3 linked regions of the Mytilus edulis genome follow. The protein of the gene in region 1 interacts with the protein of each later gene in a pairwise test. Links are inferred from orthologs where the notes say so. Each region holds a gene or a part of one and is shown in the gene's direction. Other genes may lie near its edges. The genes, in order: E3 ubiquitin-protein ligase NRDP1-like; ubiquitin-conjugating enzyme E2-22 kDa-like; iron-sulfur cluster assembly 2 homolog, mitochondrial-like.

The links.
Region 2: the proteins of E3 ubiquitin-protein ligase NRDP1-like (region 1) and ubiquitin-conjugating enzyme E2-22 kDa-like interact in binary tests that used the Homo sapiens proteins (3 or more experiments, as listed by UniProt). The link is inferred for Mytilus edulis from reciprocal best matches to the Homo sapiens genes RNF41 and UBE2K.
Region 3: the proteins of E3 ubiquitin-protein ligase NRDP1-like (region 1) and iron-sulfur cluster assembly 2 homolog, mitochondrial-like interact in binary tests that used the Homo sapiens proteins (3 or more experiments, as listed by UniProt). The link is inferred for Mytilus edulis from reciprocal best matches to the Homo sapiens genes RNF41 and ISCA2.

Annotation. Positions count from the first base shown.
Region 1 is NC_092357.1:19,895,545-19,903,520, forward strand, and holds the start of E3 ubiquitin-protein ligase NRDP1-like, read left to right. Parts: upstream 1-3,968; 5' UTR 3,969-4,084; intron 4,085-7,591; 5' UTR 7,592-7,595; coding exon 7,596-7,685; intron 7,686-7,976. UniProt on the Homo sapiens protein: Acts as E3 ubiquitin-protein ligase and regulates the degradation of target proteins. Polyubiquitinates MYD88. Negatively regulates MYD88-dependent production of pro-inflammatory cytokines.
Region 2 is NC_092351.1:24,259,158-24,267,133, forward strand, and holds the start of ubiquitin-conjugating enzyme E2-22 kDa-like, read left to right. Parts: upstream 1-3,614; 5' UTR 3,615-3,932; coding exon 3,933-3,995; intron 3,996-6,028; coding exon 6,029-6,181; intron 6,182-7,951; coding exon 7,952-7,976. Other genes in the region: ribose-phosphate pyrophosphokinase 2, read right to left, coding at 1,346-1,529, 3,343-3,521. UniProt on the Homo sapiens protein: Accepts ubiquitin from the E1 complex and catalyzes its covalent attachment to other proteins. In vitro, in the presence or in the absence of BRCA1-BARD1 E3 ubiquitin-protein ligase complex, catalyzes the synthesis of 'Lys-48'-linked polyubiquitin chains.
Region 3 is NC_092346.1:1,252,061-1,260,036, reverse strand, and holds the start of iron-sulfur cluster assembly 2 homolog, mitochondrial-like, read left to right. Parts: upstream 1-3,732; 5' UTR 3,733-3,792; coding exon 3,793-3,866; intron 3,867-7,976. Other genes in the region: calcium-independent protein kinase C-like, read right to left, coding at 167-508. UniProt on the Homo sapiens protein: Involved in the maturation of mitochondrial 4Fe-4S proteins functioning late in the iron-sulfur cluster assembly pathway. May be involved in the binding of an intermediate of Fe/S cluster assembly.

The DNA of each region.
Region 1 (7,976 bases):
TCCCCGGCTGGTGGCCATCTTGGATGATGGATCGGCAACAAAGTAACAACACTTGGTCAGCACCTCATAAGGAACATTCATGCCATGTTTGGTTTCATTCCATTCAGTGGTTCACTAGAAGAAGTCATTTGTATGCATTTCGAATAGGGTCCTATGTTAAACTAAGTCCCCGCTGGTGGCCATCTTGGATAATGGATCGGCTACAAAGTAACAACACTTGGTCAGCACTCCAAAAGGAACATTCATGTCATGTTTTGTTTTATTCCATTCAGTGGTTCTCTAAAAGAAGTCATTTGTATGCATTTCCAATAGGGTCCTATGTTAAAGTAAGTCCCCGCTGGTGGCCATCTTGGATAATGGATCGGCTACAAAGTAACAACACTTGGTCAGCACTCCAAAAGGAACATTCATGCTATGTTTGGTTTCATTCCATTTAGTGGTTCTCTAGAAGAAGTCATTTGTATGCATTTCCCATAGGGTCCTATTTTAAACTAAGTCCCCCGCTGGCGGCCATCTTGGATGATGGATCTGCTACAAAGTAACAACACTTGGTCAGCATCCCATAAGGAACATTCATGCTATGTTTGGTTTTATTCCATTCAGTGGTTCTCTAAAAGAAGTCATTTGTATGCATTTCCCATAGGGTCCTATGTTAAAATAAGTCCCCGGCTGGCGGCCATCTTGGATGATGGATCAGCAACAAAGTAACAACACTTGGTCAGCACCTCATTTATAAGGAAAGGAACATGTTTAATTTCATTCAAAAGTCCCCCACTGGTGGCAATCTTGGATGACGGATCGGCTACAAAGTAACAACACTTGGTCAGCACCTCATAAGGAACATTCATGCCATGTTTGGTTTCATTCCATTCAGTGGTTCACTAGAAGAAGTCATTTGTATGCATTTCGAATAGGGTCCTATGTTAAAGTAAGTCCCCGCTGGTGGCCATCTTGGATAAGGGATCGGCTACAAAGTAACAACACTTGGTCAGCACTCCAAAAGGAACATTCATGCTATGTTTGGTTTCATTCCATTTAGTGGTTCTCTAGAAGAAGTCATTTGTATGCATTTCCCATAGGGTCCTATGTTAAACTAAGTCCCCCGCTGGCGGCCATCTTGGATGATGGATCGGCTACAAAGTAACAACACTTGGTCAGCACCCCATAAGGATAATTCATGCTATGTTTGGTTTTATTCCATTCAGTGGTTCTCTAAAAGAAGTCATTTGTATGCATTTCCCATAGGGTCCTGTGTTAAACTGGGTCCCCGGCTGGTGGCCATCTTGGATGATGGATCGGCAACAAAGTAACAACACTTGGTCAGCACCTCATAAGGAACATTCATGCCATGTTTGGTTTCATTCCATTCAGTGGTTCACTAGAAGAAGTCATTTGTATGCATTTCGAATAGGGTCCTATGTTAAACTAAGTCCCCGCTGGTGGCCATCTTGGATAATGGATCGGCTACAAAGTAACAACACTTGGTCAGCACTCCAAAAGGAACATTCATGCTATGTTTGGTTTCATTCCATTTAGTGGTTCTCTAGAAGAAGTCATTTGTATGCATTTCCCATAGGGTCCTATGTTAAACTAAGTCCCCCGCTGGCGGCCATCTTGGATGATGGATCGGCTACAAAGTAACAACACTTAGTCAGCACCCCATAAGGATAATTCATGCTATGTTTGGTTTTATTCCATTCAGTGGTTCTCTAAAAGAAGTCATTTGTATGCATTTCCCATAGGGTCCTGTGTTAAACTGGGTCCCCGGCTGGTGGCCATCTTGGATGATGGATCGGCAACAAAGTAACAACACTTGGTCAGCACCTCATAAGGAACATTCATGCCATGTTTGGTTTCATTCCATTCAGTGGTTCACTAGAAGAAGTCATTTGTATGCATTTCGAATAGGGTCCTATGTTAAACTAAGTCCCCGCTGGTGGCCATCTTGGATAATGGATCGGCTACAAAGTAACAACACTTGGTCAGCACTCCAAAAGGAACATTCATGCTATGTTTGGTTTCATTCCATTTAGTGGTTCTCTAGAAGAAGTCATTTGTATGCATTTCCCATAGGGTCCTATGTTAAACTAAGTCCCCCGCTGGCGGCCATCTTGGATGATGGATCGGCTACAAAGTAACAACACTTAGTCAGCACCCCATAAGGATAATTCATGCTATGTTTGGTTTTATTCCATTCAGTGGTTCTCTAAAAGAAGTCATTTGTATGCATTTCCCATAGGGTCCTGTGTTAAACTGGGTCCCCGGCTGGTGGCCATCTTGGATGATGGATCGGCAACAAAGTAACAACACTTGGTCAGCACCTCATAAGGAACATTAATGCCATGTTTGGTTTCATTCCATTCAATGGTTCTCTAAAAGAAGTCATTTGTATGCATTTCCCATAGCGTCCTATGTTAAACTAAGTCCCCCGCTGGCGGCCATCTTGGATGATGGATCGACTACAAAGTAACAACACTTGGTCAGCACCTCATAAGGAACATTCATGCCATGTTTGGTTCCATTCCATTCAGTGGTTCTCTAGAAGAAGTTCAAAATGTAAATTGTTAACGACGACGACGACGGACGACGCCGGACGACGACGACGACGGACGACGGACGCCAAGTGGTGAGAAAAGCAGCTAAAAATGAGAAGATAAAGCAGCTAAAAATGAGAAGATAATCGTAACTGGATAGTGTTTTTTTTATATTGACACTAAAACGTATATCTGATAGTATATGATGAAATTATGGTGATGAATTAATCACGTTTCAACATCTTATGACATTTCTGTTTATATTATTTAAAATAGTTCTAATGAAAACAGCTACATACTATTATATCATAAAATTTGAAAGGTGAACCAGCTTCAAGAAATTTGTAAATGGGAAAACACGAACTATGTTATAATACAAAAAAATCCCAAGAACTATTAGGAATGCCACAAAATATGGGAATGAGCGAAGAGGTAAATTTAAAAGGAAGTTATGATATATGGCAATATGAAGGTACAACTCACGTTACGCAGTGGACATTTTGATGAGTGTCGTAGTGGACAAAACCGTTTCGGTCGTAGTGGACAAAAAGTTTCGTAAAGCTTGTTCTTTGTTTTGCACGAATATAATTGAAAAAAAAGACAAAATCTCCAATACTTGTTTCATAGGCGATTGGTTTGTAGTGGACATATTTACATGTTTTATTTTTTTAGATATGCATTGGACGATCATAGTCATAGCAGTCACCAGGTGCGGATCCAGGATTTAGACGAACTGAGAAAGGGGGTTTCGGGAAAAGAATATACATTTATCATACTAGAACACACCCGTGAAATCGCGGGTCCTTGACTGAATTGAAGTATATAACTATGCGTTAGCCTTATTTTAGTATTAGTATTGTCATATGATATATAAAGTACTGCCGATTATAAGATACACAGTTTCCTCTACTTTCTGTTTGAACCCGTCGACCTGGAACTTATCAATTATTTGTAATATTAATTATTTGGAAAATAAAAGGTCTTGGAATGGAGTATTTTTTAATCAACAGCATTGTCCTACATTAGTTATAAATAAAGTTGAATTCTTTGATTCGCTGTTTTACGTCATGCCCGCTACCAAATTAACCGAAACTGTACATAAACGCCTTATCATTTTAGGTCCATATTTTTAGTATTCGTATTATTATCTTACTAATTAAAATACTACAATAGGGAACAATTTGACAATGATTGAATTTAGTAGTCAGTGTCAACCCTGTGACTATGACCCGTGTATATAGCAAAATCCTAAATACACCGTTTGGTGGTGCGATTTTAGTTGAAATGATAGGACATTTTTTGAGTGGGTACTCACTTTTGTCCAACGACTTACAAATGCATTTAATACATAAATGAAACTAAGTTAAAACATAAGTTAGTTTTGGGTAAAAAATAATACGACCCGAGTTTGAAGTTCCCGCTAAAAAAAACTTACTGATTTAGCAGAGTTATTGTTCTTGCAGGAAGTTGATGAAAATATGGCGACATCATGAAAAGAAAAACAGACACTGATTATCCACTATTACAGAAGTTTGCCTTCATTTGAACTGGTAAAATTGGTTTCAAGCAAAAATAAACACATCACTTATTATTTTAATTATAAATTTCCCAATTATACTGCCTGACTCCTTTGTCGAAGTAGGCCGAACCAGGAGACGGTGGTTTCCCAAACCCTAAATCACAGACACAAAGTCCTCAAAGAATAACTACCTGTATCGGAAAGTGTCTCAATATCGGAACTACAATATCCTAATATTTCCCTCAAAGCATACATGGATTGTTTTGACAGTGAATGACTTTCGAAAAAATCTATGTGCAAGTAATATTCCCAATACAAACAAATGAGGGTACATCTACATTCCAAGTTGATCTGTCAAACTTGACCAATAGTCAACGCTTCTGGTGGGCGCAAGAAAAAGAGTAATTTTGTAAGATAACCAAAGAATATCTTCCGTGGGGGTACCAGGGAAAATAATCCCAGCCGGCACAGCTCCAGTCCATCATTTTGACTTACTTGGCAAATGGGGGAATGCACAGATTAGATAGAAAGTGTTGAAAGCTCCCTCTTGAAAGATACCAAGGAGGGATCCTCAGCTACAGTTGCTGGTAGTGTGTTCCTAACTGTCACTGTTCTTGGGGAAAAAACTGTATTTGTAGCCATTAGTCTTGGTTGAATATTGCCGGAACTTCTTTGTATGTGATGATCTTGTTCTCGATGACATTGGTGTTAAGTACGTGTCGCATGGTATGTCCACAAGATCATTAACAACTTTGTAGAGTAATGTAAGCTGTAATTTGACTCTTCTGTTTTCCAATGAATCCCAGTCTAGTTCTTCTAACATGCTGCCCACACTACTGGTGTTCCTATAGCGGCTGCTTGACCATTTCAACCTTTTTTACTTGCTCTTTTTAATGTGGATTCCATACTGTTGCGCAGTAGTCTAAGTTGGATCTGACCATTGCAACATATGCATTTGTCTTGGTTTCGCTATTGATGTGTTGTTTCCAGGAGAGGTCTGATTCAATGTCGACTCCAAGGTATTTGGTACTTTTTGATCTTTCTAGCACTTGTCCCTTAAGCGTGTATGAGTGTATTATTGGTGAACGTGATCTAGTGGTAGATTGTACACTACATTTCTGTGGGTGAAAGTCCATGCCCCAGGTTTTTTCCCATTCTGCAAGTTTGTTAAGATCTTCTTGTAACTACATTAGTATCAACAGTAGATGTTATCGTTCTGTATACTATACAATCGTCTGCAAATAGTCGTGTGTTGGATGTTATGTTGTCAGTTAAGTCATTAATGAATAGGAGGAATAGTAACGGTCCAAGTACAGTCCATTGGGGGACTCCGCTGACCACAGGAACTTTCTCTGAAGATTCTCCCTCAACCATGACTTGTTGGGTACGTTTGGCTAAGAACGATTAAATCCACTTATGTGTTTGTCCTGTAACTCCATAATGCTGTAGTTTGTTGAGCAGCCGTCTACATGTATGTGAGACACGATCAAAGGCCTTAGCAAATGCTTAGAGAAATCAAGGATAACCATATTAATCTGCTCTCCTCTGTCTAGAGCTGATGCAAGCTCATGCCAAACGTGATGAGTTGAGTTTCACAGCTTCGTCTTGCTCTAAAACCATGTTAACAGTTGGTAAGTATTTTGTGATTGTCTAGATGTTTCAAGGTGTTACTGACAATGATGTGTTCCAGGAATTTACAACATAGACAGGTGAGTGAGACGGGTCTATAGTTACTAGCATCATATCTGCTTCCTTTCTTAAATATTGCTGTTACGTTTGCTTGTTTCCAATCTTCTGGCACTGTACTGGATCGAATACTAGGGGTAGTAATTATATGCCCTTTAATTTACTGTCAGGCGTAAAACGGTCTTTTTCATGTACCGTTACTGTCAAATTGGTAAAATTTTTACTGTGATTTGTCAAAAATTCTGATTGTGATTTGTCAGAGGTCTCACATAACAAATGTATAATTATCGTTAGCGTCAATTGTTGGACAAATTAAACGTGAATCATCAATATCAATTGATAATTTTTATCGTCTGAAGAAAATGTAAATTTAATCGTCATGCACCAAATATTACTGTTTACGTCATTTGCCTAAAAACAATTTCGTCATGAAGGCACCCCCATTAGTGATTACCACCCTCAAACAAATGGGATACTAAAAACAAGCTTAGATTTTTAAAATTTAATTTCATTGACGTTTGATATATATTGAATTGCTTATTAGGAGTCTATGACACTTGACTTGTAGTGATTGACGTTCTAACTATTATATTGTACTTCCAGTCGGGACACTTTCTTTGGTCCCGAGCCCGGTCAGGTGTTTTAGTGGGTAGTGCCTAGTCCCAAGAGAACCCCGATTTAATACTTCATACTGACAGCTGCTAGAAAACCCTTGGGGAAACAATAATATTTATGGTAAGAACGTCAACCACTGAATTGTATCTAAAGTGTATGGCATGTATGGACAATATTGATGTAATCAATAGTTTAATAAACCATCAGAATTTCTAAGGAATTAATTATTATAGGACTAATATCTCAGAACCAGGGAAAATAGGAAACAAGATGGGAAATGCTAGGAATTATATAGTTTTATATACAAACTAAACATCACAACTTTCACTCCTGTTACACACTTACAGCATGTAACTTGAAAAGTTTTGATCCTGATCCTAGGGTCATAATTGACACAACTTGTCTCTTATATATTCTACGCTTTTCCTCTTACAATTGTATGGTACACTGTTGCTCATGGTAATTTATTAAGGTACTTAAATTTATATTTGTTTAAATGCAGGATTCAGGCTAGGGCTCGCCAGTTCTTGAAATCACCTTCCTCTTGCAAGATTTGTTCTAAAAATATTTAGGGTTATTCCCAGACCCTAGGCAATGTCAGGATTTTTTAAATTGCGCTCTCTGCTGTTCAACTTCAGCATGTTCAGAGTAAGCACATATTTTTTGCAGTTATGATGTTGCTGCACCAAGATCCTTTGTAATGGTTCCTATGCAAAATTACTCATTGTTAAGTTTATTTATGTAATTTATGTTATACATGTAGGGTCCAGATCTGGAGCTCCATATCTTTTAAATAAAGTAGTACTTACATTATATTTGACTAGATCATATTTGTCTTGCATCTATTTTATTAATGACAATGCACATGTACTTAAAATCATTTTTTTTAAAAAGATCACTGGTTTTCAAGAATTATCATGATATTAATCTTTATCATGTTTTTCAATTTATGACTCGATGACAATGTTTGTTTACTGTCATCATGGTCATATTGGGAAGATATAGCTAAGTACTGTCAATAAGGAAGAAGATCCACATAAATCAGTACACAAATGTAAGTTTTGAGATACTGTTTTTTATTGTAAACACAAGAAGAAAAAGAGTTGATAATAAATGTCAGACTGACATTGGAAAATCCTTTTTTGGAATTCTGGAACTACCTTGTGTACATTTATTATACATATAATGAATTGTGTAAATTGAGCAATGCTAATAATATGAAATATTTCAATTACAGGAAGATGGGATATGAAGTAAACAGATTTCAGGGCGATGTTGACGAGGAGCTGATATGTCCTATCTGTAGCAGTGTTTTAGAAGAACCCCTACAGGTATGTGTCAAAATAAAGAATATGTGATTCAGTTAGAAATATTCTTTATATTAAAATTAAATGAATGCTGCCAAAAAATGTATTTCTGTGTATTTATGTGTCCTGGTATTGTGACTTGTCTTCCTGCTGACTGTTGCAAATGTATCTCTTGAACTAGAAAGTCAAAAACCTGGTTAATAGCCAAGGTACATTGTTAGATAAGATTAATTTTATTTTTCAAGTTAGGTTCCCAGGGGGGCATATACATGTACACATAGCATATATATAATTGATACAACACAGTATTTTACA
Region 2 (7,976 bases), on another chromosome or scaffold:
CTATATAAACCAGGGCTTCCAAAACGGTCATATATTCCGGACATTTGATTAATGTCCAATAAAAGTCCGGCTGGGCAAAGCATGAAACGGTCATATACATTTTAGTTTTCAAGGCTTTTTCGGTCATTTTAACATAAGTCACGATCTTTTTGACCCAACCTTTTGCCTTTAACATCTACACATTTCCAGTCATAAAAGTGACATGATGATTAATTACTATCAAAACAACCCCTACTTCAATACTTTCTTATTTTAATCAAGGTTAATTAGTTATTGGGCAGGTGATATCTACCTGTTCAGTTGACAGGTAAATTATGTTCAGTACCGGACATCGTATAAATGGATCGGTCTATTCACAATTATTCTAAATTATAAGAAATTAGTTTATCTACATGATCTGATAAAATTTTTTAAAAGGTTTAAATGAAAAATCGTCAGAACTACGTCGAATGAACTAGAACATGTGTGCGCATGTGCAAAGGTGGGAAATTTAATTATGCATCCTTTATTTCTTCAAAATGCTAAAATTATCATTGAAACCTGTATCTTAACGTTCATTTCAAGCATTTTGATGAAGAAATAACGTGGATAGAGCTTTTCACTCAGTCATTCTTTGCAAACGTACATGGATTTTACGTGTTCGTTTACGGTCCATGTTTTACCATTGTCAAGTCAACATCTGGTTTTAGAAAAACGTGATTTTAAAAACGAAAATGTAGTTTTTGACATGTCATTTTGCACAAATAAAGAGTCTATGGCAGATATGAGCACGCTGATGTGCACACTTTGAATGATGCACTGCCAATTTAACAGTTTACATCCAAACATCCAAAACAAAGTAAAGTTTAAAATCGTTTTTTCATCTAATGTCATTATCATAGGAATGGCCATCTGATTACCATAATTGCCTTTTGTGACTTAGGTCTTAAGGGATTAAAATCGGGATCAGATATAAAATGTCCGGCTGGCTCAAATGTTTTTTGGAAGCCCTGATATAAACAAATATCAAACCCACAACAAGGACCTACCAGTAACCTTTTTTTGTTATTACCAAATAGTTTTTTTGTTTTTTTTTTTTTAACTCAAAAGCTTATTTCCACATTGCAGTTTTAAGAATAAGTGTTGACAGTAAGAGGCTTGCTACCATAGAAAATTAACTATTTAGACATCTCAGCCACTGACAGGTTGGGAACAAACCCTCTACATGGTGATTATACCTGTATAGAGAGATAATCCTTCTATAGAGGGATAAAATTGTTCCCATCCTGACTGAGGCTTAAATAGATATATATGTTCAAAACTTGAAGTAATGGAAAATGTAGCACTGTTCTTTAAAAATACTTACTTTATCTTTTTTGTCCTGTCTAGCGTATGGGAAACATGGAATGAGAGCTGTGACACGACACGCAGATGCTATCTTACAGGCATTTATCATGATCAACAATTCCATCAACATATCATTCACCTCATCACAACCACTCTGTACAATGTACACATCTTCTCCACGCACAGATTCTCCAATCTCAACACTGAAAAAAAGGATTGATATATAATTACTGTTTCTCAACAGACAAATTGTATAATCTCAACACTGAAAAAAGGATTTTCTCTCTGGATATCATAGTTTTTGTGATAATAGGCAACAACAAAAAAAAAAAAAGAGGCTCCAAAGAACCTGTTTTGCACACATGATATTTTTATTTACAATTAATGCATGAAATAATGCAACCATTATACTTTTTCTCTAGTTTTAGAGGTACTAGTCAAAAACTGCATTTTCCCCCTACGTTCTATTTTTAGCCATGTCTACCATGTTGTTTGGCAGGCAGGGTCATCGGACACAATTAAAAAAACTAAATACCCTATTAATATTGCTTATTTGTGGCCAAGTTTGGTTAAATTTGTCTCATTTGATTCAGAAAACTTTTTTTAATAGATTACAAAAATTTTTGAAAAATTGTTAACTCCTTATGTGGTCAATTGACCATTTTTGTCATGATGACTTATTTGAATGTCATACTTTGCTGAACATTATTGCTGTTTACAAATTATCTTTATCTATAATAATATTCAAAATAATAACCTAAAACAACAAATTTTTTTTCAAATTAATAATTCAGGGGCAGCAACCCAACTAGGGGTTGCCTGAATTGTCTGAAAATTTCAGGGCAGATACATGTAGATCTTGACCTGAGGAACAATTTTATTTCACGTCAGACTTGCTCTAAATGCTTTGGTTTCAGAGATATAAGCCAAAATCTACATTTTATCCTTCATATAAAATTTATTTATATTTTTTAATAAAAGTAGAGCGATTGAACAAGGGCAAACAGACTCTATGCTTAATAGTGTAGTATAGGAAGCTTGACCTTGCAATTAAATAACAGGCACACATGGTCCCAAAATGAGTTGTTTTTATATTGAAAGAACATTTAATTTATTTCTATCAAAGATTTCTTTTTTTGATTTATTTGTGTATGTAACATAAATTCTTGAGGTGGTGGAAATTTGAATATTGGGGAATATTGTCCCAAGTAGAATTCTATATTTGCATGAGCTTGCGAATGCAATATATGTTCTACGAGGGACAATATTCCCCAATATACACCTTATCGCTATTTGTCCGCCATTACTGGATATCACACAGGTTCCCGTAAAATTTTGACGTCATAAAACAAAATGTCTGACGCCACAATGGAAAAGTGATTGTTATTGACGTCAAAAGTTCAAGCGGCTGGGTCAGCCGGGATTAGCGATAAGGTGTATTCATGCAATAACCCTTTTATTGTATAGCAATATAATATTAGAAAGTTAAAATTGGTTTAAACTAAGATTTTGTCGTTGATGACATCATTAATTTCAAAGATTTATTACTCTAGTGCAATATTGGAATTTATTGCACGCTAACTTTTGGATACTTTCTGTGGGAAATATTATATTGCTATGCAATAATGTGATATATTGTGTATTGACATTTTCCTCTATGTGAATGGAGGTGTGCCTTGATTGGCAGAACTACGTTAACAGAATCAGAAACAGAATATGGTCGAAAGAACTTGATGAGAATAGACCAAGGGCGACCAGAAACCTATGTCTAAGCCATGATCCCACATAATTTTACTCACATTTATAATGAGAAAATCATTGGAAATGCCTAGTAATTTTTTTAAACATGCAAATTAAAAACCAACTTTCAAATCTCATCATGTGTAACAGCTGTCTCACATAAGAAATATCAACTCTAAAACCTAATTTTCAACGAGTGTCACTATTCAGGTCAAATAGTCTGTTGGTGCCCCATGGGCATGGATACAAAATAATGATAAAATCACTCATGATCACCTGCATTCACCGTTGCTAAATTTTTTGGTAACAACTTTGCCTTGTTCTATTCCAAGACGATCGCAAATTTTCTGTGCAAGATCAACATGAGAACTTCCACTAAAAACCTTAATGTTAGGCATTCTTCCGAAGTCTGTCAAGCTTTTTGATTCAGAAATTTGTTTACGAATACCCAACATTAAACACGTTTGGCCTCAGGATGCATGTGAGTATTTTCATTTCTACGCTTGGTTGTAACGGATGTTACTGTAAAGCGTGAACATGATTAAGACAACTTGACCCTAAGATTGACCTTATATGACCTAATATATTTCAACGAAACGTAGAAAATAGTTAACTTCAATGAAACATTAGCGGAATTATATATAATTCTATCTTATTTTATCGCAAATATATTTAATTCAAAAATTTCCGTGATTAAAGTAAAAAGTTCAGTTTTGTATTTAATGCGCAACTTTCCATGTGCTCACTTCCGGAACAAGCACTGTTGAAAAAAACATTGAAAGTGTTACTCATCCCGTTTAAAAATTAATTCTATTGATTTATTTTGCCCTTAACTTGTGATTGATGTAACATTTTGTCTTGTAAATATGGCCAATATTGCTGCTGCTCGAATACAAAGAGAATTCAAAGAAGTGGTTAAAAGTGAAGAGGTACAGACTGCTATGTTCTTTGAGATATATTCCATCTATAAACAGCAGATTTATTTCATGATCACACCGACTCCAAAAGCCAATCTTTATCATGAAATGGTTTCAATCTAGAACCATATATTTACTGATTTCATCATGGACTTATCATTTCCTTATCAGGACAGAAGTGAATATGAGTTATGACCAAGACATTTTAACAGGACAACCTGAAGGAGACTATTCCTAGTTACCTAATTTCCTGATTGATGGGTAACATCCCCAAATTCATGGTTAATAGCTCAGATCACTCTTGTCATTGCCATTGATGCTAAAAGTTGTGAATTTTGGTCTGATGGCAAAATTTCTACATCACTATTTAGTATTATTCCCAGTTTAATAAGCATAATTATTTCATACTCAACTTTAAAAAGAAGATGTGGTATGATTGCCAATGAGACAACTCTCCACAAGAGACCAAAATGACACAGAAATTAACAACTATTAAGGTCACCATACAGCCTACAACAATGAGCAAACCCACACTGCATAGTCCGCTAGAAAAGGCCCTAAATGACTTATAACATGTAGATTGATAATAATAATAATAATAATAAATTCTTTATTTAAAGAGGGTAAACTCAGTTAGTTACAATAAACTAATCTTCCTCACCAAGGCAGAAACCAATATGGGGAAATTGAGTTGACTGCAATAAGGAATGTTCCAATAATCACCTGTACAGGCTTATTTTGTGTGTGACTTGCTTTGTAGAATCTGGGACGGTTCACCTTGATTTATGCTCACTCTGGGTCTGACTACCCCAATACCAATGAATATACACATTTTATTTTGTATTCTGTATCATGTCACTTAATTTATAGTATAGAGGTTTATTTAAAAGTTAACTTTCACACATAATTTGATATTCATTTTAAACAAAACAGCATGCATTATGAATAAGCATGATAAGTAAAAAAATAAAAGTTACGTGATTAGCATGATTAGTGCAAGCTATCAAGGTTAAACTCTGAACAGGTGTAAAAAGCTTATGCATCTATTTCCCATACAGAAACATGATAAAAGAAACTTGCATGTAAATAAATGAAAAATCCCAATGTCCTACATGTCCTAGCTATATACAAACAATTTGAAGTACAGACTTTATTCTGGCAAACTTTACAGTTAAACTAATTGTTCTGCGCCTCTGGGTGCATGGGATGTTTTGATTGACAAATAAAAAATGCTGTTGTTGTAAACAGTCTTTTATCATTTGAACTACTCCTGACAGACATGAAACAATGACAACCACTAAACTACAGTAAGCCACATATAGAATTTGGCAGGGTTAAACATGTTTGGAGGTGCCAATCCTTCTCTAACCCAGGACAGCAATGTAACTGCACAACACAGAACAAACTTAACAAATAAAACTAAAGGGAAAACAAATGAGAAAACAAAAAACAATAACTACTCAATTACAGGCTACTGACAGTCTTTTGAAACATGTTTATCAGGCATATAAAGAATGTTGCATGGTTAAAAAGGTGCCAATGCAACCCTCAATTAACCTGGAAAAGTAATGTACAATGTAACAGTGCAACATAAAAACAAATACTTAAAATCAGTTGAAAAAGATCTAGATCTTATTACAGTGTTGAATTGCATTTGGCAACCTTTTAGAATAAGATATTCAACATGTTCTAAGGATTAAATAAGTTTACCTGTTGTGTTTCTGCACTCTTACAGTGAAAGTTACTTTACCTAGACTCAAACAAATATTTTGAAACTTAAACACATTGGTTTTTACCACCAAACACTGGTCATGTTCAAATTTGAGTGGCATCACTTGCACTGTTCATGTCCCTTTATAAATGAAAAAAATGTAATTTGTTGTATATTTACAAGCCCTAGACATCTGTCCTATGGATATATTCTTCATTTATTTAAGTTTAACAAAAATAACATACAAGTGGAAAGTGATAATGAGTAGATTTTACCTTCTTACAAATATCTAACATACATGTATAACTAAATGCGTTTATCTTTTATAATCCAGGTGGAACGCTGTAAGATAAAAGTATCACTGAAAAATGATATGTATAATGAGTTAGAAGGGACGATAGCAGGACCTCCCGACACACCATATGCTGGAGGAACATTCAAACTAGAAATTAAAATTCCAGAAACATATCCATTTAATCCTCCTAAGGTAAGCTGAAATATTGACTTGGACACTATGTATTTTATCATTTACTATGCCAAAAACAATGCTCATTTTTGATGTGTAATAAAAGCTGAACATTAATAAGATATCATTGCTCAGGTTTTCTTTTGCAATTTACATGAATACTTTAAATACCAATTAGTCCTAGGGATAAAAATGTATACCTGAGTAACCTCCATTGTTAAACATTTTATAACAGAGTTACATGTAAAAAAAAATATCAAATTAACTAACTAATCATATACTAATGCAGTGGTCTCGCTAGCCCAAAATAGAAGGGCGCCGCGCCCTGGGTGCCCTCAGCCGCTCCCTGGGTGCCTTCATCCGCGCCCTTCTGCCCTGACGTCTTTTTCCAAAATTATCTTGTGCCGTTTTGGTAAAATTTTGTTTCATCGATTTCTGATCTCCAAGTTAATTACATATATGACCTGTGTGATTGCCCCCAGGTTAATCATGTCATTACAATCAATTACAATGATAAAGACTTCAAAGGTGTTAATAACTAGGTAATTTAATTAGGACAATGTATCTTTTTGTCATACTTTTGATGAATGTGTCAGCGAGTGTGGTGTGTTTAGCTTGGGTCGTTATTTTCTTATTTTCGATCTCCAAGTCACAATGGAAGAGCGTATATAAATGAAGACTTTCATGGCTTTAGAATTGAATTTAAGTCATCAAAATAAAACTATGCCTTTACAGAAATGCCTTCCATCTCAACTTGTTAGCGACAAGCACAGTTTTTAATTAACCCAAACGTGGTGGAAATTGATTTTGGAGTTACTTCCCCTGTTTTAGCTTATTACAAATTTGTGCTCTAAAAATATTATCTAGTATCAAAAAAGGAATAAATTACCAATTGAATATATAATAACATAATAATGTTACCTTAAAGATATTAACTGTCTTTGAACATATTAAAAAATATATATTGCAATTTCTACTTAATAATTATACTTTTAGCAATCCATGTTCTAAACATTGTTAAATTAGTAATGCTCTCAGTTTCACATCTTATGATGTATTAAAAGCTATAATTCCTATGTAGATAAAACATAAAACACATATTCTTTTGATAATGGGTAGAGTGAAGTTAAACTGTAAAAACATAATATGTTGATGAAGATGTACTATATCATTCATAACTACACAAACATTGAAATAAAGACTATAGTTGAAAAGCATCTTTATTTAAAAAAAACAACATATACAGTAAAAAAAAAAAAGAGATTCATTACCTCGTGATACACACAGAAACGTAGACAAATAAATGAGCAGTGCCTTTTCTTATCATAAAAAGTGCCCTGCCCTCCACTGGCACCCTGCCCCTTTTGATTTCTAGCTAGAGCACTGTAATGTACTGTGTATATATGCATTTCAGGTATCAGTCATCCTTATTATTAAAGATATAAACCTAGGAAGATGTTGACTCTCATTTATTAACCATAAAACTGAAAACATGTTCCTCTTGATTTCTTATTTATAAATTTACAATAAACTTGTACAATAACATGTACCTGAAATTTTATTATTTGAGAGATTTTAGGCTGGGGAATATTGTCCAAGCTAGCCCATAGAGAAAAAAGTTTAAATTTATTCCCTGTAACTAACATAGGACACTGTATGGCCTGCAACAATGAGCAAAACCCATACCATTATTTGGCAAAAATTTAACAATTGAATTCTAATGAGAAAACTAATGGCCTGAAGTCTCTTTTGTGGTTGAGTATATTAATGGTAAACAAATCTTTTTTACAGGTAAAATTTACTACAAGAATATGGC
Region 3 (7,976 bases), on another chromosome or scaffold:
TTAAAGCAATACATTGTTTTTATTCAGTCCAAATTAAAACAGTGATTCTAATAATATCTTTTTCTGATTTGTGTATTCCGAAAGTCATCCATCTTGAAATTTTGATATGCATTCGCTTCAGCAGCAAACATAAATAAAAAGAAAATAAGTCTTAAATTGAACTCACCCACATGTCTCTCGTTTTCTGGTCTTTTATATCATCAAAAGAAAGGAAACAATTAGCCACAAATTCGTCCGGAGGAATGGCAGCATCATGGAAAACTGTCAGTCCGATAGTTTGGCCATTATGGACTTCCAGATGAAAATCTTCATTCCATACTGGTTTTAAAGTTTTTGGCTTTGTTGACGTCCTGTAGATATGAATGTCATCTAGATCTATTGAAATATACGGGTCAATTAACTGTACGGCCTTAGCTACACTCATCTGAAGGCGAGTGGCACAATCAGTGGGTCGTAGATCGACCGCTTCGCAGATTTTTAATTTCATTGATCCAGTGAAAGATGCCATTTTGGGTAATTTCCAGACATTAAAGCGATATATCCACACACAACGTTAAGAATTCGGTATATTATATAATCGTGTCATGACAAATTGTGTGGCAACACTGCCATCGAGTTAAAAAATCATCCGTTGTATGCACTGCTAATTCACGGAAGTTCTACAATACTAATGGGAAAGGAATAAGCAGGTGTAGGTGTTACGCATGCGCTAAAATAGCAATTAGCGACCTTCAACTTCAAAGAAAATATATATTCTAATATCGGACTAAAATATATATACAGATTAAAAATAATTTCAATATATGTACATTGTCATAATTTTAAATAAAAGGGACAAATCATTTGAAACTATTTATGATGATGATTAAAATCTGGAGCCGTAAAATGTAAAAAATTAAAATGTTCATGATAATTATATCTATTGGCTAGGGTTTTGAATAATAGTCCTATAAACAACATTATTTTTTATAAGTAATAATATAGTTCAATAACGAAAAATGCGTATATTTCAATTCTGATTTTAAATACTTTAATTAACATACGAAGAGTACCCGTGTCTCTATGACGTCCGCATCATGAGTAGAGGTGTTTTCAGTGACGTCCTCGCTTAATTGACGTCCGCGTTTTTTCATGTTTAAAATAACGCTAGAATCGGGAGAGCAAACAATACTTTTTTTATACGAATACTCCAAATATGCACAACTATGAGTACATTGGTTTGAATGGGTGGTCTTCAATTAATTGAATTCCGTTTAATTTTTTGGAGGACTTTTAAGAAAATTTTAGTATAGAATAGAATATAATATTTTTATTTCCCAAATTACAGGGCGCATAAAGGGCATAAAATCCGATACAATTGATTTACATAATTGGTTAACAACAACAATAATAGAGGCATATACATATATATTTGGAATATAAGCAATTGGTCATAATCAAGCTAAAAACCACATATATATGGGAATAGAAGAATAATAAACTTATATTATATATGAATTTATTCTCAAATTATTTACTTAACTTAGTGTCAGTGTTCATACCTGATCTCTTTATCTTAAAAAAATAACTCATTTTTGCTCTTTTTTTTTTTCGTCCATTACTTACCATTATTCTCTATTGTGTACCAGTAACACTTGAAGATTGGGGACTAACAATTTATGATTTAAAATATTGCCTTTTAAATCTCAATATATATATATACTTTGCGATCCCCTGGTGCTGTTGAATATAATAGTACACGCACTATTCTCAATTAAAGGGTTCATATAGAGCATAATTATATCTACAAAGTTCATGCAATATACATCATCATCATGCACTAATATTTGCTGCATTTTATTCTCATTCATTGATGTATTTTCCTGCTCTGGACTAGAAAAAAGTGAATGTTTTAAAATCCCGTTTTAGAAGAATAATAAAATATTTCAACGATAATAGTTCTTGTAAAAAATATTACTTTATATTTTCCCTGACAGTCATAACTTTTAAATCTGACAAGACATACCATTTCATATTGAAAGTTATCGTGTTCTTATGGACGACATCAAAACATGCAAAAGATCGATGTAGGATAACAAACTTAAATCAAATAGTTTGGGGTGGGGGTTAACATTGCTGCAAGTTTTGTTAATTTAAAATCGATTTTACATATATCCATATAGGTAAATCAATTTTTCCCAAATTAAGTTAAGAGGGGGGTGGGGGCAGGGGGTCAGTGAAAAAACTATGTGAATTAAGTTTTTTTTTATCCTTCATTGAACTTTTGATGTCGTCCCTTAGCATACCAGAAAACTTACTTGCGGAAATTAAAATTTGAGCGGGACCTTAAATTAATTTATGACAATATGGCCCTTCCTTCGAGTACTATATGAAACGGTTTTCAACAACAAATATGTACAGAATAATCTTTTTAATAAAAATCTGCAACTTTAGTTTCAACATGTGCGTGTCGAGCTATCTGAAAAACCATTTCTTAAGCCTGGCAATCACAATCAATGGAAGCTTGGACCAATATGAATATTATCATGTATTAATGTATCATGTATTTAGTCCGAGATAGAACTGAGGAAAGTTAACAATACGAAAAGTACAATTCAGTATGCAATAATATTTAGTTTATGAAATTCCGATCGAAAAAAAAGCACAAAAAAAGAATCCAACATTGTTTTGCGACTTTGCCAGTCCAGAAAATTTAGTACATTTAGTGTTTTAATATAAAAAAAAAAGTAAAAACATAAAAATACTGAACTCTGAGGAAAATTCAAAAGGAAAATTCAAAATCAAAAGGCAAAATCAAAAGTCCAAACACATCAAACGAATGGATAACAACTGTCATATTGCTGACTTGGTACAGGCATTCTCTAATGTAGAAAATGGTGGATTGAACCTGGTTTTATAGCTAGAAGTTTGATGCAAAATTTAGAAATAGAAAGGTTACTTTTAAACTGTAAGTCTAGTGATAAGAGAATTAACACAACAAAGATGAGAATAATTTATTAAATAAAGTATTTATCATAATTAGTGCAGACCATAATTTATTGAAAGAAAAAGGAAAACATTTAAAAATACCTAGAAAAAGACTATGACCATCCTGCAATACATTGGAGGATGAAGCTCATTTCATTTTATACTGTAACAAAAATCTAAACTAAGAGATAACTTTTTAGGAAATGTAGTTAAACCTGGCACTATAATGTGTTATATATATATAGTAGTCTCAGGTTAAATACATGCCAGATTTTCATGATGTCCTCACGGTGTAGAAAATTGAATATTTTCCCCCATCAACTTCAAAACGGAATTTTAATATCCTTTTAAAACTTAAAACAGGTATTAGAATGAGGACATGAGCTCTTTGATTGATTTATCATAAAATATATATATGACTTAGTAGATCGTTAGATTTTTACTTGTGTATGTTTTTATTGGGATATGAAATATATCTGATATGACTTAGTAGATCCTGAGACTACTATAAAAATGTGTTATAGTACTCTCAGGTAGATCGTTAGATTTTTACTTGTGTATGTTTTAATAGGATATGGATTTCTATGGCTTTCATTTTAAAAATGTGTTTGGTGTTTGTTTGCATTCATGTAATTTGTCACAAACTTATATATGTTTAGAGTTAGTTAGTTTATATGACAAACTTTTTGAATAATTTGACTGATCATATATAAAATTTATGACCGTTATGTTCCTGTGTTGTATGCATCACTGTCTTTCGGTATTAAGCCTAAGTAAGAGCTAAAGGGATACAACTCTTGATGGAATGAAGTAAACAAAAACGAAATGACATCTCTTCTGAAAAAAGTGTCATATACGGCTTTCTGCGCAATTAGAAGACAAAATCTTACAAAATACAAGTATAAACAAGAACCTCATAACATCTTGAAGTTTAAAATGTTGCCTTGCTTTTATATATGACATTTTAGCTTATGCAACATTTTAAACTAACAATTTAACAATTTTCAACTTGAAAGACTTAGTAAACATGTTCCCTATGATTCAGTATGATATGATCTTTCTAATTTTAATGCCAAATAAGAGTTTTCCCCCAATTTCCTGGTCCACTGAACATAGAAAATGATAGTGTGAATGGGCCATCTGTGTACATGTACCATGAACGAATCCGGGTCCGTTCGCGCCCATTCACGTTCGCACCCACTCATGTTCGCCCCCTTTCACTTTCGCACCCAAAGTCCGTTCGCACCCTACATGTTCGCGCCCAATTTCAACTTTGTAATCAAGTAGTATTCTTATAAGTATTATTGTTTTCATTGTCTGAAAATAAAGTGATACAGCATTTTTTTGTGTTGAATAAATCTTAATCATGTTTTGGATAGTGTATTTAAAAAAAAAAAAATATTCCTTTCTATTTCTAAATAAAGTGGGATTCTGTCAACGTTTTATTTTGTGTTGAATAACTCTTTATCATGTTTTGGTTAGTGTATTACTATAACATGTATAACTTTGTTTCATATTGACTTGTTTCAAAATGAAGTGAGATTCTGACTACGTTTTTTTTTTTTTTTTGAGTCTTGAATAAATTTTATCATGTTTTGGTTATAATAGTGTATTGCTATATTTTATTGTTTCTTTGTTTCAGCATGTTCAGATCAAAGGGACCAAGCTGTTAAAAACAATTATCTTTTGTGTTTTTCATTTATAATCTTGAATCTTTTACTCATACCAAGCTATAAATACATTCATTATTTACACGAAAGCAATTAAAAACAACAATGATGATTTTCCAACTATTCAACTGGAATTTGAATTAAAATTGGGCGCGAACGTGTAGAGTGCGAACGTGCGAGGTGCAAACGTGTAGGGTGCGAAAGTATATTGGGCGTGAACGGACCTGATACCTACCATGAACACATTCTTATTCACCATGACGTCCATCTACATATTTTTTCTATAAAATTAGTTCTATGTCTAGATTATGTCTTCAAAAAAAATTTTTTTTTTTTAACTTGTACCTAAATGTTGCAGACCGTATGCATACTTTTTCAAAATACCCATATGGTCGGACCTTACGCATACGAAGAAAAGACATGAAAGTAAAAACATGGTATTCAGTTTGACTTTCACATTGGTATCACATCATCAATACATGGTATAAGTGTGAACCAATTGTCACTGGACATTAAGCCAGCAACAATCTATCAACCCACACTGGTATGAAGATATAAAAAAGAAGATGTAGTATCATTGCCAATGAGACAACTGTCCACAAGAGACCAAAATGACACAGAAATTAACAACTATAGGTCACCGTACAGCCTTCAACAATCATGACAATGAGAAAAGCCCATACCGCATAGTCAGCTATAAAAGGCCAGAAAAGATCTTTCAGTTATTACATGTGTGATTCTATGATGACTAGGCTCAGTTTAACAAACTTATACAATACAATACAATACAATATTTTTATTTTCAAATTTTAAAGGGCCCATTAAGAGCATAACATTAATTACAACTTATTACCTTAGAAAACTTGGCCTATAAGAAAGCTTAACCCCTTAAAATAAATAAGATTAACTTTGTTAGTTAGTGAGATGATGGTTGCATAATTTTAGATATTTCTTCTTCTTCTTCTTCCAAGTAAGGAACCGTATTCATCCTGAATGTTTTTGGTCCCGCGAAAAACTTGGCGCATTGCCGGGCAAGGCAGCAAGTCCTCTCAAAGTTATATACATTTAAAACATTCGCCAATTTACAATTAAAATTATGTACACTCTATGCTGTTCATTTCCTTCCAGAGCCTGCTTTCAGAGCAGCTCTGAAACCCTCTATCGAGTCGGCTGATGTTGTTTTAGCTGGTAGTTGATTCCAATCCCTGATGGTCTTTGGGAAGAATGACTGTCCATAGGTTTCAGATTTTGTTCTTTCTTGGTAAAAGCGGCCTATACCTCTGGTCCAGCTGTCATTGGATATTGTTGTCTATCTATATCAATAAGCCCATGCTGGATTTTAAATAGCATACATAGTCTGTTGGTTTTTCTACGTTCTTCCAGGCTTTTCCACTGTAATTGTTTAACCATGTGTGTTACACATCCAGGTGTTCGGTCTTAGTAGTTATTATGAACAAATCTTGCTGCTCTTTTTATACGACTGCAAAAATTTTAATTTTTCGTCGTATATTGCTATTACGTTGGCGTCGTCATCCTGCGTCGTCGTCCGAATACTTTTAGTTTTCGCACTCTAACTTTAGTAAAAGTGAATAGAAATCGATGAAATTTTCACGCAAGGTTTATGACCACAAAAGGAAGGTTGGGATTGATTTTGGGAGTTTTGGTCCCAACATTTTAAGAATTAGGGGCCAAAAAGGGCCCAAATAAGCATTTTCTTGGTTTTCGCACTATAACTTTAGTATAAGTAAATAGAAATCAGTGAAATTTAAACACAAGGTTTATGACCACAAAAGGAAGGTTGGGATTGATTTTGGGAGTTGAGGTCCCAACAGTTTAGGAATTAGGGGCCAAAAAGGGGCCCAAATAAGCATTATTCTTGGTTTTCGCACCATAACTTAAGTATAAGTAAATAGAAATCTATGAAATTTAAACACAAGGTTTATGACCATAAAAGTTTTGGTCCCAACAGTTTAGGAATAAGGGGCCCAAAAGGGTCCAAAATTGAACTTTGTTTGATTTCATCAAAAATTGAATAATTGGGGTTCTTTGATATACTAAATCTAACTGTGTATGTAGATTCTTAATTTTTGGTCCTGTTTTCAAATTGGTCTACATTAAAGTCCAAAGGGTCCAAAATTAAACTAAATTTGATTTTAACAAAAATTGAATTATTGGGCTTTTTTGATATGCTGAATCTAAACATGTACTTAGATTTTTGTTTATGGGCCCAGTTTTCAAGTTGTTTCAAATCAGGATCCAAAATTATTAGGGCCCCGCCAAAGGCGGGTCCCCTATAGTGATCAGTCTGTCCGTCCATAACACTTTGTGTCCGCTTCATATCTAGAGAACCATTATGATTTCATACTTTATACTTTACATGTTTATTAACCACCACCAGAGGGTGTGTCATGATATATGTACAACTTCCTAGGTCAAAGGTCAAGGTAAAAAAACTTTGGTTTCAGTTGACAACCCTTTGTCCTGTTGTGAAGATCATGTCCGCTCTATATATTGAAAACCGATATGATTTCAAAGTTTATACTTGACATGTATATGAACCAACACCAGAGGGTGTGTCATAATTTATGAACGACTGCCTAGGGCAAAGTTCAAGGATCAAAAACTTTGGTTTCAGTTGACAACCCCATGTCCTATGGTAAAGATTGTGTCCGCTCTAGATCTTGAGAGCCGTTATCATTTCAAAGTTTATACTTGACATGTATATAAACCAACACCAAAGGGTGTGTCATAGTTTATGTGCAACTTCCTAGGTCAAAGGTCAAGGTCAAAAACTTTGATTTCAGTTGACAACCCCATGTCCTATGGTAAAGATCGTGTCCGCTCTATATCTTGAGAACCGTTATCATTTCAAAGTTTCTACTTGACATGTTTATAAACCAACACCAAAGGGTGTGTCATAATTTATGTACAACTTCCTAGGTCAAAGGTCAAGGTCAAAAACTTTGATTTCAGTTGACAAACCCATGTCCTATGGTAAAGATACAATTTTTTAATGCACATTATTCACAGCGGGGCCCACAGAGATGACTCCCATCTCAATGATATCTAGTCATTTTAAGTATTGTGCAATAGCAAGAAATTTTCAATTGCACAGTATTCAGCAATAGCAAGAAATCTTCAATTGCACAGTACTGTGCAATAGCAAGAAATTTTCAATTGCTCAGTATTGTGCAATATCAAGAAATCTTCAATTGCACAGTATTGTGCAATAGCAAATATTTTCAATTGCACAGTATTGCGCAATAGCCAGAAATATCTAATTGCACAATATTGTGCAATAGCAAGAAATTTTCAATTGATTGGAGTTATCTTTCTTTG